Linked DNA regions of Lepisosteus oculatus. The protein of the gene in region 1 purifies or fractionates together with the protein of each later gene. This does not show direct contact. Links are inferred from orthologs where the notes say so. Each region holds a gene or a part of one and is shown on either strand. Other genes may lie near its edges.

What was found. The genes of interacting proteins can lie anywhere in the genome.
Region 2: the proteins of stx3b (region 1) and sybl1 purify together in Homo sapiens (co-immunoprecipitation; 3 studies listed by BioGRID and IntAct, with this or other methods). This does not show direct contact. The link is inferred for Lepisosteus oculatus from reciprocal best matches to the Homo sapiens genes STX3 and VAMP7.

Annotation. Positions count from the first base shown.
Region 1 is NC_090701.1:42,419,672-42,426,610, forward strand, and holds the start of stx3b (syntaxin 3b), read right to left. Parts: upstream 3,003-6,939; 5' UTR 2,621-3,002; coding exon 2,591-2,620; intron 1-2,590. Other genes in the region: GTP-binding nuclear protein Ran, read right to left, coding at 4,582-4,626, 6,014-6,184. UniProt on the Homo sapiens protein: Potentially involved in docking of synaptic vesicles at presynaptic active zones. Apical receptor involved in membrane fusion of apical vesicles.
Region 2 is NC_090703.1:47,620,244-47,627,942, reverse strand, and holds the start of sybl1 (vesicle-associated membrane protein 7), read left to right. Parts: upstream 1-4,677; 5' UTR 4,678-4,830; intron 4,831-6,476; 5' UTR 6,477-6,601; coding exon 6,602-6,747; intron 6,748-7,647; coding exon 7,648-7,699. Other genes in the region: polr1d (DNA-directed RNA polymerases I and III subunit RPAC2), read right to left, coding at 1,774-1,850, 2,210-2,307, 4,159-4,200. UniProt on the Homo sapiens protein: Involved in the targeting and/or fusion of transport vesicles to their target membrane during transport of proteins from the early endosome to the lysosome. Required for heterotypic fusion of late endosomes with lysosomes and homotypic lysosomal fusion.

The DNA.
Region 1 (6,939 bases):
TTTTTGGCCGCAACGCGCAGAAGAAACGTTTGGAGAAAAACAGGTGAAGATTTTGGAGAAAAGAGCCCCTTGCCCGCCGTTAAGCTGGGCAGAGGAAGTAGCGAACAAGTGGAAGAAGAATGGACCCAGCTCAGTGCCAACAGATCCTAGAAGCTCATGTCCCAGAGGCAGCGAGGAAAGTGAGGTTGAGAAGAGGATATTTCAGCAGGACACTGGTCTGCAACATACCTCAAAATCAGCCGCGGAGTTCTTACGGGAACGAAAGATTAAGCTTTCGGAATGACCTTCATAGTCCCCACACTGGAATCGTTTTTAAAATCTGTGCGGGGATCTCAGTCATGCAGTGGGTTCAGGAACACTCTCCCAGCTCAGAAATACCACTGTACACTACTGTATTTCTGACCTGGGAGCGTTCGGCAAGGAAGAGAGGGGAGAAACCCCACAAGCTCGAACAGAAAAACTGTTCTCTGGCAGCGGGAAACGTTTGAAAGCTGTGATTTCGGCCAATCAGGATGTTACAAAGGACAGACAGGGTGCCCAAATGTGTGCACGTGCCATATTCGCCATATTATTTTATTAGGAAAATCTACAAAACTGTAAATAGATACTAATTGTGCAGAAATATATCATGTTCAAGTGTGCACCACGCAGAGGTCGTGTCAATTTCTTTTCACTTAGGGATTCACTAAAACATACGACTTCACCAGGGGGTGAACAGAGTTTTGCACACAACTGCATATTTAGTCAACTATTTATGTTTACAGATAGTATATCAGATGTATCAGAGGGCTTGCAAACCCTGTAGTAGCTACAAAGGAAGTAGGATTTACAGATAAAGAGTTACATGCATCTATAACAACAAAATACAAACACAAAATGGGAACCACTCAGCTAGAAGTGGCTACTTGTGAAACAGGCTGTGGTGTGAATATTCTTCTGAATAGTGTGAGGAAGCAGTTAAAAAGACAAACGAAGAGTTATGATACACAGCTAAAGACTAAGTATTGTGAAGTTCTCCACATCCGTAGTCAAGGGGTGTTGTGTTCAAACTGTGTAACTTGTTAGGACGTACGACCACATTTAGAATATTGTTCTATTCTGGTTCTGTTAATGAGAAGACACCGCGGCTCCGGAACCAGACTAGAGAAGGACAACCAGAGACATGCTGTGGGTGGAAGGAAAGTCCTACACTGGCAGGCTGAAGGAACTGGATATCTTTAGTCTTCAAAATCCTCCACGACTCTGACAAACTGAACCCAGAAGACCCCTTTGGAATGAACAGTGAAGCACCAGCCTGAGGACTCCGGCAGAAACAGCAGTATGTGGAAGAGCATCTAGGACTAAGAACCGGAGGCTCTTCTGTACACAAAGGGTGGTGGGAGTGTGGAACAAGCTGCCCAGGCCTGTTGTTGAAGGCGATACCCCGACTTTTTTCCAAGACACAGCTGGACACAATCCTGCGATCAATAAACTGCTGGCTACCAAACGGACCAGATGGACAAAGATCAGCTGCAAAGTGGACTTTCGCAAGTACAGCAGGATAATCCCGTTGCAGTAGGGGGGCTGTAACAGAAGAGCACTCAGACCCCGGCGCGTTCCTGTCTGCCTCTCCGCCCGTCGTGGGGGCCAGATACTACGTGTGTGTGTGTGAGCCAGTACACTCCTCCCACCAGGCAGACCGGCCGGTTCCAGCGCGACACCCCTCAGCGGGTTCAGTATGGAAGCGGCGGCGCGTTGCTTTACATACAGGCGCACCTGCGGGGCTGGGAGAGGCGAGAGAGCGGCGGAGAAGCAGCGAGATGGGGCAACGGCGCCGGGGGCGGCCCGGAGACAGGGAGTGGGGGCGGGGGGCCGAGACTCGGGGTGCGGGGAGCCGCGCAGCCTGTTGCCCGGCCGGGTGTGAGCGGGAGCGCCGAGAGACCAGCAGCTATCAGAGTGTCCTTGAGCACCAGCGACTGCAGACCGCCTTGTGTCCTTCCTTAATCGGTCCTTCGCCCCTCCTCCTCCCCCGTCTCCCGGCCAGCTGACAGGCGCAGACGTACAGGTGTCACCGGGGCTCGGCAGACTCGGAATTCAACACACCGGCACGCCAGAAACAGGCTGAGCAACTGAGCGTCTCCGTCCCAAACCCCGGAACACGACACGACAGCCGTGATAATCGTCTGCACTGCGCCGATGTATATATAAAAAAAGATTAATAAATAAAAACGCTTTTCTGCACCCCAAAGGACGGCCCGCTGCGTTATCCCCTCTCTCGCTTGTTTGTTTCTGAGGAGACCGATACCCAGTATCGATTAACGTGAAACCGGTTATACCGATGAGGATACGCCGACAGGCTCTGGATCTGGATTGTTTAAATAAACAATAAAACACACAAAAGCTGGATGTTTAACATTTCTCAAGAGACAATCCATATATTTGAAACCCTCAGTTTAATCATCTAAAATTAAATCCACTGTCACTCCAATGCAGTCGAACATCAATATTACATAAGAACTGTTGTTACTGCCGTAGGAACAGTGTGATTCATTATACAGCACACAAAGCTCAGTGAATTTGAAAAGACTGAAAAACAGGGAATTATACTCACCGCTTTGAGCTGGTCCAGGCGGTCTTTCATCTTTAAAGTTGAAAAATTCTCCTTACCGACTGACCAAAAACAGTAAAACCGTTATTTATAATATTTTAAGCACTAAGTCCAGACAGGACAGGAGTTTTCAGAACTTTCTTCTTCCCAGGAAGATCGTTCGAACTTTTCTCCTGATTTATTTTTGCGAGTCGTGACGTTTCACTGGGTTTAAACGTTACGGCTCTGCAATATGGAGGTTCTCCGCTGTCGGTGGCCCCGGTCCTCTGAGTCTATCGGCTCAGAGGGGATTAAACCAGCAGTTAGGCTCCCTGCGCTTAATCTCCCCCTCCTCCCTCTCTCTCTGCGGTCTTGTAGAGAAGCGCTGTGCCGTCCGCACATGCCCAGTCCGTGGAGCTGAACCTTTTAATTCCTGTTTACGCCACCACACCCGGACCCGTTTAATACCTGGAGGGAGCCGACCTGCCTGCATCTTAAAGGGACCGCGACGCTCAGTCCAGTGTTAATGGACTGTATTAACCCCTCTCTCTCAGTGCAGTGTTAATGTACTGGAGTGTCCAGTGTGTCTGGACTGTATTAACCCCTCTCTCTCAGTGCAGTGTTAATGTCCTGTAGTGTCCAGTCAGTGTGTCTGGACTGTATTAACCCCTCTCTCTCAGTGCAGTGTTAATGTCCTGTAGTGTCCAGTCAGTGTGTCTGGACTGTATTAACCCCTCTCTCTCAGTGCAGTGTTAATGTCCTGTAGTGTCCAGTCAGTGTGTCTGGACTGTATTAACCCCTCTCTCTCAGTGCAGTGTTAATGTCCTGTAGTGTCCAGTCAGTGTGTCTGTGCTGTATTAACCCCTCTCTCAGTGCAGTGTTAATGTACTGGAGTGTCCAGTCAGTGTGTCTGTACTGTATTAACCCCTCTCTCTCAGTGCAGTGTTAATGTCCTGTAGTGTCCAGTCAGTGTGTCTGTACTGTATTAACCCCTCTCTCTCAGTGCAGTGTAAATGTACTGAAGTGTCCAGTGTCTGTACCGTATTAACATACTGTAGTGTCCAGTGTGTCTGGAGGATAGTTAGAGGGTTATTTTGGACTATATGGTACATATTAATACTGTGATCTGTAGAGATATGGAGACCAATCATTGCGTGGAATCAGAATAGTAGTCAGAAAACTGTTGTAAAATGTTCAGGTTGGAGACAGCTTGGTAGGTTTTTAGTAGGTGAAGTTTTTAGTTTTCACAACAGCCTCTATCTCACTCAGAGATCAAAATGTTGCTCTTGACTTCACCACTTCCTTCACAGATCACGTTACAACAGTTTCTCAAGTCTATAAAGATACACACACTGACCAAGACACTCAGTTCAAGAACAGTTATCACCCCTACTCTTACTGACAGTGTCCTGGGTCTGTAATGACCAGTCAATCTAACATTAAAGTGAAGAACAGCAGCCCACAACACAGTATCTCTGGTCACCATACTAGGACACTGGCCTGGGCATCACGGTCCAGAGGATACAGAACCACTTACTGATCCTCCAGGACCACTAGTCTTGGGAGGGGGAACCTCCAACACCAACAGGAAGTCACATTTTTAGATATCTAACTCACCCACACTCATCTAACTAGACAGAAGAAACCAGGAAACATTCAAGAACATAAATTTAGACAGTTTTTATTCAAACTTTTTTCAAATAAGTGCATCCATATTTTAAACATTTTTCGGTATCTCCCAGCATCCACACTCTTCCTCCGTGTGCAATCTGCTGCCAGCACGACAGCCTGTGAAGTATTTGTCTTTACTGTATTGTCTGTACAGCACTGTTTGTCCTGTACCATACTGCTTGTCTGCACTCTCTCAACAAACTTGCATTCTTCAAGATGAAAAAAGTAAAAAAAAAAATCAAAATAATCTGAGACTGGGTTTTACAGTAAAGGTAATAGTGCAGCCAGAGCACTGTGACTCCCAGACATCTCCTGCTTCCTCTGGAGAGGTCAAAGGTCACAGGTTAGAGGTCATCCTCCTCATCTGGTAGTGCTGTTTCCGATGCCACCTAAGAGGATACAATAAACACGTGTCACAGCCCAGTGAGAAAGAGTGCCCCAGCGCTCTGCATGCACAGTGGGAAAACTGCAGCTCACAGTGAACAAGTGCTGACACCTAGTGGACCCAGCGCATAACTGCATCATGTTGTACTGCACGTCAAGTTAAGCACTGATGGGTATCTCGCATTAATATGAGCTATTCTGCTTTAACAGGAAATATTATTCCATTGGCCTATTTCACCAATGCAGTGTGTACAAAAGCCAGCAGGTGTCAGCATTAAAACTCGGAACGGATCAAACTGCTGAGCAACGGGAGCTGGATTTCCAATTCCCATACCCAGGGCTCTGGCGTACCAGAGGGTTCATTCCGGGGTTCGTACCGCCTTTCCCCAACCGAACGGCCTGTGGCCCGCGACAGCAAAAGGACAACATGACTAGGCTCATAATGACTCGGGAAATAAGGTTCTGTCCTTAGGAAAGACTGACTAAAAATCTCTTTTCTCAAACACGGGCACCTATAGATCAAACTCGTTCCACAGCTGGAACCATCACCGACAGACTGAGCCTTGTTTTGGGAATTAAGTCCCTAAGTGGGAGAAGTAGGGGGTGACTTAAATCTGACCACAGTGTGCATGTCGGCAAACACCTGCCCAACATGGCTGCCTGGACTCCTGGCCATCACTAGCTCTGGAAAGGCTGTATTGGTCCACATAGCAGTGCTGAGCTCGCAGTCTGGCATCACACACCAACTGAAAAGAAGCCCAGCTATCAGGGGGAACACAGTGGGTGACATCTGACACTAACCTGAGAGCTGAGTCCCACAGTGTCCACAGCAGAGTGAGCAGAGACTGGAGGAGAGACACAGCTCTCACTGACAACACTGTGAGCCCCACAGTGCCCACAGCAGAGTGAGCAGCGAGCAGTGTCACTGGAGGAGTGACGCAGCTCTCACTGACAACACTGTGAGTCCCACAGTGTCCACAGCAGAGTGAGCAGTGACTGGAGGAGAGACACAGCTCTCGCTGACAACACTGTGAGCCCCACAGTGCCCACAGCAGAGTGAGCAGAGACTGGAGGAGTGACACAGCTCTCACTGACAACACTGTGAGCCCCACAGTGTCCACAGCAGAGTGAGCAGTGACTGGAGGAGAGACACAGCTCTTGCTGACAACACTGTGAGCCCCACAGTGCCCACAGCAGAGTGAGCAGTGACTGGAGGAGAGACACAGCTCTCGCTGACAACACTGTGAGCCCCACAGTGCCCACAGCAGAGTGAGCAGAGACTGGAGGAGAGACACAGCTCTCACTGACAACACTGTGAGCCCCACAGTGCCCACAGCAGAGTGAGCAGAGACTGGAGGAGAGACACAGTAGAGTTGCTGGTCCAGCCTGTACCTTGAGGTCGTGCTCGTACTGCGCCGCCAGAGAGGGGTCCATCGAGACCTCAGGGGGGGCCAGAGCTGGCATGGCAACAAACTCCAGATTGGGGTCACCGATCAGCTTCCGGGCCAGCCAGAGGAAGGGCTTCTCGAAATTGTAGTTACTCTTTGCAGAGATGTCATAGTACTGAAAGAGAGAGGGGGATGTGGGGGTTCATACAGCCGTTTTGAAGCCGTGGTTCAGTCCCTGATCTGAGCATTGCTCTCTAGGGTTAATACAGCACTTGGCAGCCCAGTCCTGCTACTCAGGGAGCTACGTGGCTCAGTACGGGGGTCACACTGGCTGGCTGGCTCTTCTTCGGACCGGAGTGCTGTACTTAGGCCTGCAGTGACAGCTGACCCGCCCTAGACAGCTGATAAGGCCTCTAATGGTTGCACATAGAGACATGATGGGAATTAGTTCATTATTAGGTTTACTACTGAAGCATTAGGAATGCCACATTTGCCCCTGGGTGTCAATTAGAGTTTGGGATGTAAAGGGCGTCACGGTGTGGGGTTGTGCTGGAGAGGTGTGCCGAGCCCAGACTCCTCTCCCTGCAGTCTCCGGTCCACTGAGGGCTTTCACAGGCTCAGCCCTCACATGCCGCACGACTGAAAGGGGGGCCTCTGTTGAATTGCATCCCCTCCCGCTGATGTTACTCGAAAAGAAGTCAAGCCTGCGTACTCCTTCACGGTCAACACTGGAGCACTAACCACAGGACACAAGTGGAAACCGCATGGATTTGCAGTTAGAACCGGGAACTGGAGGCACTTCTTTACACTAAGGGTGGTGGGAGTGTGGATCGAGCTGCAGAAGCAGATATCCTGGTATCCTTCAGTAGCCGCTGGATGAGATTCTTGGACTGGATGGACAGTGGCCAGAGCAGACAGACTGCCCAGTCA
Region 2 (7,699 bases), on another chromosome or scaffold:
CTTTCACAACCACCCCCAGCGCGTTACCTTTCTGCTCACTCCCAGGGCGTGCGTGTGCATGCGTGCGGGGGTGGAGAGGGAGCTCTCCAGAGCAGAAGCAAAGCTCTCTGCATGGCAGCAGAACCCAAAAGAAAATTACAACCCGTCATGAACAAAGATCGCAGATCCCTGAAACGGTCTTTCTCCAGGTACCATTTTGCTCTGCAGCCTATATATCCATGTGTTCCTCATAAAATGCTTTTGTCAATTGCAACTGCAAACCTGTCTCCGTGAAGGACCGTACGGGCAGCACCAGCTCCCGAGACAGAAGAGAGCTGGAGAGAGAGAGAGAAAGAGCAGGAGCCAGATTCCTCACACAGCTGTCTGAACAACAAGCACCAGACTTCAATCAGCCATGTCGGCTCTGGGGTTTTGCACATTTAACAGATAATTGCCCTGCTTTTTTTATGTACTGCCAGAGCAGCAGACCCGGGGGTTGGGACTGTTCTTTTAAAAAAAGCCACATAGTCAAGACTATGTTGTTTTTCTGTGCATAAATTAGCCTCAGAGCTGGGGGGAAAACTCACTGCACAAATAAAAGCAGACCAGGATCACCAGGTGATCAGCTATACTCTGTGTCTTTCTGCAGGTACATGATGCTCTACACTTGTTCTTTGTATTTTTAGATGACCTCTTCTACTTGGACGGTCATCGTTCTGGAGCTGGGCTGGGGGAAGGTGCTTAAGGGTGTACAAACTGTGACAAATGCGCTGCTCCCAGACTCTGGGAACAACAGCTGGTCGGCTCCTGCAACCCAGCGTGTAACAGATTGAAAACGGAGGCCCCTCTATGGACCCCAGTTAAAAACCCATTATCCCTCTTCCTGCTCCAATGTGCTCCTCTAAAGCAGCTAATACAATTAGGAGCAAAAGGCGGTTTTGTTTCTGTGGTCCTGGGCTTCCTGCCAGAAAAAAGGGCTCTGCTCCGAGGCTACACACTGTCACCAGGGATCGTTTCATAATCTAATTTTAAAAACTGAATTCTGCCCCCACTCCATAAAAATGAGCAGAACTATTCACCAAAACAAAAAAGACTGAAGGGACCACGGCACTGCGACACAGTGAAAGGCCTTTTTCTGGCCGGTCAGGCTGTCACTGTGGAGCTCACGTACGCAGAGCAGCCAAAACACGCTCATGCAGCTCTGCTGTGCAACCTCTCCAAGAAGAGCACCAGGGACATCAAAAAGAAAAAGCCAAAATAGCCATTTCCCAACTATGGAAACAGACCCCATTATCTCTCTCTGCGGATAATAACCGTCTGCTGCAGAAGGAGAGAGAGAAGGGCTGGATCCACACAAAAACACTTGTGATGCCAATATTAACACAGGGCTCCACACAAAGAAAGCCGACTACCACATAACCAAGAACAAAGCTTGATTCACGCTGCTCAGAGGAACCGGTGTCTTCGTGGGCTTTCCTGGCAGGTGGGGAAAGTCTCTGCAACAAACACGCCACAGAGCGTCCCACGAATGAGGGGGAGCTGTGGTGTTTGGGAGCCCCCCAGAGACACACATTTGCCTTCGTCCATTTTCGTGGACCCCCATTTCGATTTAACATGCCAGCCTTCGGTGAAATGAAACAGCAAGGGGATTAAGAGCACAAGCAAAAACTAGATATTTTTTGCGACGTGCAGATCTGAAAATTGTTTTTTTGTTTACAATTTCAGATTGTCCCCGTGTCACCCGTCAGGAGTCTGAGATCACACACGCACGCACACACGCACACAGGCACTCACCTCGTGTCTGGATCCGGAAGTTAATCTTACTCTCTGAGGGGTGAGTGATGCTGTACCCACAGAACTCGACTTCGGGGCTGTGCAACACAAAACGCACATGAACCCGGCGGCTCTTTAACACGTCATTGACTATTTTCAACACAGCGACACACGACAAACGTAGAGGTCGATGCAATTGAAGAAATACTCCACTGCACAGCCATTTAAAACATTCCGGGGTTTAAGAGCTGCAGTCTCCCACACGTTAAGGCTGTGCTTGATACCGGAAGTCCGAAAAGCTGTTTTGAGCTCAGCCATGTATCAAGTTAACATATTACAGTATATGAAACCAAAGAAACCATCGGTACAAAAGCCAGCGGCCAGTATATCTGAAAGCGATTGTCAGAGCGCTTGTGCACCAGGACTCGGGACCTCCAGACAGAGAGGGGAAACTCACTTTTTCATGACCATGTAGCGCAGGGCATTGCCCAGAGTGTGGTCCTCGTCGTGCAGCACAAACGTCACACAGGAGTCATCCCCGCCCTCCGCCTGCACCTGCGGAAGACAAAGGGCACCGCGGCAATCAGGACCTCTCGGAAATCACCAGGCGGCCAAAACGACCTGCAAACAGGCTGGGTGAGGCGACTCGCGCTGGTGTGCGCATCCTGAGCGGAAGTCTGTTCGCCGACCACGTCTGTGTAAATGAAATGGCGTCACCTTGCTTAAGATGGGCAAAATGTGGCTAACGCACTTTAGGGATACACGATAAAGTGCCCATCCTGCTGTATCCTGGCATTTTTGCAGTTTGGATCCTTCTGCTGCTCCTTTTTCAGGACAACAAGGCCACACTCTTGCCCAAAGCACCAGGATCTGCATTTAATAATCAGAGTGCCGAGCAGCAGTGTGAAACCCTGATGGTGGGATGTCTCGATCACTGTCCTTGTGGCCCCGCTGTCTGATGGCATGACTCTTACTCAACCCTTGGTCAGCCAATCAACCCCTTGTTCGGGGCTCATACCCGGATTCATTCAATCTTTTTGATTTCTGCTCTGAAGCAGTGAGAGAAATGAAAGGCTAGGAGCCGAAAAACCAGGCTTCACAATTTCCCAAGCCGGACGATCGATGAAGGGCACGATGAAGGGGGAGCCCGGCTGTGGAGATACCCAGAAGACTCCTTCGGCTCACGAGGAGCTGGAACGGAAAGCCCAGTAGTAAGCTGACAAGCGCAGCGAGCAAGCTTTCATAGCGAGTACTGCGGCGATTAAGGATGAGGTTTTGAGGAGGGAAAGAGAGGCACCTCTGGGCCTAAGAGAAAGGGCAGAATTCAGGTTTGGCTGCAGCTCTAGCCTGCCTGACTGGAGCTGCACGTGAGGCCTCTGTGATCCCCTGTGGTGGAGCATGTCTTTTTCACAGGAAGGCCTCTGTCTGCCCAGACAGCTACAGAAACTCTATTCCCTGCTCCCACTTTTCAAGACAACATTCCAAGTCATTTTTAGGAAACGTGGAAAAAAAGAACACTATGTACTTAAAAGCAAAAACAGCTAACAAAACATGTTTAATACCTTCAGCTCTTTTTCAACGGGAGATGGAATTCAGCCTTTTTTGTGTGAAACTGGGAAATCTGGGTGTTTGAGCTGGGTGGACGTGATAATCCCCGCAGATCGCAGGAAGAAATCACAATTATAAGGATCTGCTGGTCAGCGGCAGCACTACCTCCGGGTGCCCCCTAGCTGGTAAAAGGTGGTATCGCCGAGAAAAATGAAAACACTCTAGAAACTTCACAATTTCACACAGAAATAATTCTGCAGCGTACAACTCTCCATCGTCTGGAAAGTTGTCCAGACATACAAAGTCTCCCTAGTGTGACAGAAACCGTACTTCATTTTCATTTTATCCAGCCGATAACGAAATTATTTTTGTTGTTCGTCTTATCCTTCAGATATTTTTCCCAAGACGCTTAAGTAGGTTATAGAGAACAACTGGCCATATGAAATATAGCTAGTATACCGTTTTAGGCTACGGGAACAGTTAGCTTAGACAAGGACTGCCATAAACCCTGCTTTCTCAGGTAGTGGTCTGTTTTCTGGGGGGTTTTGAGAGTCGCGCGGTAAATATGGGACATGAGATAAGATTTCGGAGAAACAAAACTCGCTAAATCCCTGCACATGATGCTGCAACTGCTCCTTTCAGTAAGATTTTTCACCGAAATCGGTTCGCTCAAGGAAATCACAGAATTTCCCCAACTGACAATTGCCAGAGTAGACACGTTGATGCCAAGTTCGCCGTGACCGTATTTTAATTTCAAATACCAGACGCAAATCACACCCCACTCCTAAAATAGACTATGGGCTTGTGCATTGAGTTTATCGCATTTTCATTTAAACGGTCACTCAGAACAGTACTCACCACTTCCAGCACAGGTCTCTTCTCATCCTCACCGGTGGCCATGCTTGTTACCGATCTCCTTTGGCGCACCAATGTGACGTATTAGACAGGGCAGCGCAAGGAAATGTGGGTAATGTAGTGGAATTCCACTACACGGACGCCTTCTTAGATTGTCTCGTTTCTAAAATGTTTACTGCCAAGGCACAGTGAAACAATGTTACATCGATTGTAAAATCCACTTTTTAAAATCGACTTACAGTTACATAGTTAAAAAAACCTTCTAAAACAAGAACCTTGTCGTCCCAGAGAATACAAACGGGGATTAGAGTGAACTGATTTAAACGGATACATCAAACTTAAAAGTTTTTCTAACTTCCGAATGATGCCTTTAAAACCGCTTCACTCGCTCCTTACGTGTTGTTTTGTTTGCAGTAAGTTAATTTCCAAAGGCAGCTTCGAGTCAAATGTTATATTTTGAGCCCGTAAAGTCTTTTTCCCGCAGCAGAGGTTGTAAACTACAAGCCCCATGATTCCAAGGGACAGACGAAAGTGGTCCGTCAGAGGAGCACCAGGTGACTCAGAACTGGGAATTAAAAACATACGTACGGACGGGAAGGATTACGGAAATATACGCTGTTTTTTATTTTAAAGAGGGCCGTTCCGAAGGTAGTTTTCACGGAAGGCGATTCAGAGGTACAGTACGGGGCACGATTAATGGCGGTGTGTTACGACGGCTGTATCGTTGCAATCTACGGCGTATGACATGTCGGAGAAACGGAGGTGTCTGTGTGTATAGAGGTCTCCAGAATTGAAAGAGAAAGCTGACAAAATCATGTTAGAAGAGCTTTTGGGGGGTCCACGCGGGCTGTCTAAAACACAGCGGAGGTCGTTTAGGAGCTATTGAAATAGACTTTAGAATATGCTCTTATTCTAAGGTAATTCATGTTCCGAGCTCTGGCAGATAACGCGGCTTAAAGTGGTACCGCAGTGTAACCGACACTGTTGAACAGTCAGTGTGAGACTGTTAACACGGTCTGTTCCAGCTACATGGTGAAGAGCTGATGGTGAAATCGGCTCTTGTGGTTACAAGACGGGGGGCTGAAACGATTTGGGAACTTAAAATACTCCTTTCCGGATCGGAATGACGTATAGTTTGCAGGAACATGTATTTCTGAAATCAAACGGTTTTTTTTGGGGGGGGTGCATTGGAAAAAGTGTTGTTTAAATTAGCACGGCGTCGCCGGCGTGCGCGCGCGGCTGAGCGGTGGATCCCGGGGCAGGTGGGCAGTTAGCGTGCGTTTGCAGCCCGGAGTGAGCTGAGGTGTGGGATTCCAGGGCCGGTGTCTTCCGTTCGCGTTACACTGGGCAGCTCTGAAGCCCGGAGACGGGTGTTAATCTCAGCCGGCGGTCAAATGCGCTTGTAAAGGTAGCCGGCCTGTTTCAACAGCTGTATGGGAAATCCTGTAGCCATACAAATGGAATTTTGTATCCATACAAGTGGATCAGGTCGGATCATACCCCCCTGACCAGCGACCGCACGCACCTGGGCGGTCGGTGTGCACAGTGGCACGCAGCCAGACACTGCCCTCCGTCCTCCAAGGTGAAGCTGGAAGGGTTTACTGGCCCGCTAGTCGGTACCTGTGCTGTGTTCAGAGCTGTATCACATGCCTTGTGTCACATGAGCATTCCTGTGCCCCAGTACACACCCAATGGGGTAGAATGGCTTAGTGCGCTCGAGCCCAAGCAGGTGCTGGGTGAGCACTGTGAACCGTGGACCGGGGGCCAGTCCGATTCATGACTGTCGAAGCTGGTAGTCAGCCTCGGGTGACATTTGAGGGCTTCTAACCTACAGAGCGCAGTAGTGGGAGTGGCAGGTCATGGGGAGGGGCAGATCTCACTGTAGCTCGACTGGCTGCTTCCCTGTTTTGTGACGCCGGAGGCCCGGGTTTGATTCCCCAGCTGGCAGGGCGCATACCCACGTGAGCCCGAAAGCGCTACATTACTAGGGCGGAGCAGTGGTACTGTGGCTAAGGATCTGCGCCTGTGGCTGGAAGGTTGCCGGTTCAAATCCTGTGGCCGGCAGAGGAATCCTACTCCTACCCTGAGCAAGGCCCCTAACCCCCAACTGCTCCAGGGGCGTGGTATAAATGTCTGACCCTGCGCTCTGACCTCAAGCTTCTCTCCCTGTCTGTGTGTCTCATGGAGAGCAAGTTGGGGTATGCGAAAAGACACATTCCTAATGCCTAATGGCCAAATTCCTAATTGTATATGCCAATAAAGTGATCTTATCTTATCTTACCCTCACACCTTTCTCCTTCTGTCTTGTGTCTCTGATGCAGTCAAGTGCCCCAGCCTCGCTTTCCGTGCTCCCACCCCACTCGCACGCTTGCGGGCTGCTTCCCAGTGGTTTCTCCTCCGCAAGCCCCCCCCCGTCCTCATCACCCCTCCTCCTGCTCCTGTTGCCATGGCGATCCTGTTTGCGGTGGTGGCGCGCGGCACCACGATCCTGGCCAAGCACGCCTGGTGTGGCGGGAACTTCCTGGAGGTGACGGAGCAGATCCTGGCCAAGATCCCGTCGGAGAACAACAAGCTGACCTACTCCCACAGCAAGTGAGTGTCCCTCCCGTGCCGGCCACCAGGGGGCTCTGTTCCGAGTGTCTGGCTGCCAGCTTGCAAAACTTGACTTTTGGGGAGTGCAACAGCCCTCTGCTGGGATTGGAAAAGCACTCTTGCTTGATCACTTCCCTAAGCCTAACACCTTAGGAGCATTGTTTTCATTGTCAATTGCTTCTTATCCTATATCTGCCCAATTTGGAGTTGCCAGTTGTGTTGTTATGCCTAACTAACTACCTTTTACGATTAGGTTAGCTGTTCCTAAGACTCAGCCCACTGTGGTGACCCCATACAAGGACAGTGAGAAAGTGCTGGAAGGTTTCTCCAGCCCTACCCACCCGCTGTAGACTCGGCCATAACGTACAGCAGGTACCGCCTCGATTGGAGGAGAGGCGCGCGCCCTTCCTGGGCGTCACCACAGGCCTGCAGGGGTCGCTGTTTCTCCTGGGCCCGAATCATCCCACCCCCACCCCACTTGGTGCTCAGGCAACTGCGTGCCACCTGCTGGGGAGTCCAGTCACAGCCAGCTGGTTCCATCTCCCGGTCTGGATCACAGAGCTCAGCCTGCAAGTGCCTTTTTCCCACTCGGGCACCTTAAGACCATTTTTTTCCACGTAGCGCAATCCTCACGGGGCTCTGTGAATAATTCAAAACCAAGAGTAACGGATGGCTCAAATGCATACTCAAAAAAGTGAATTTAATATTCACCCTGGTTTTTAATTCCAAGCTGGAACGGCGCTGCGTGGATCAGCCAGAAACAAGAGCTTCTCCAAGCTGCCTCTTGAGGAGCGTGGACAGCTGTCTTTCAGTTTCCGCTTCAGCAATGCTTACCTAACGAAGCCTGAGTGGCTGCCTGCGTGCACTGTTTTCACTTCCCCTTCTCCCCTTTCTTTGCAGCTATCTCTTTCATTACGTCTGTCAGGACAGGATCATTTACCTGTGCATCACA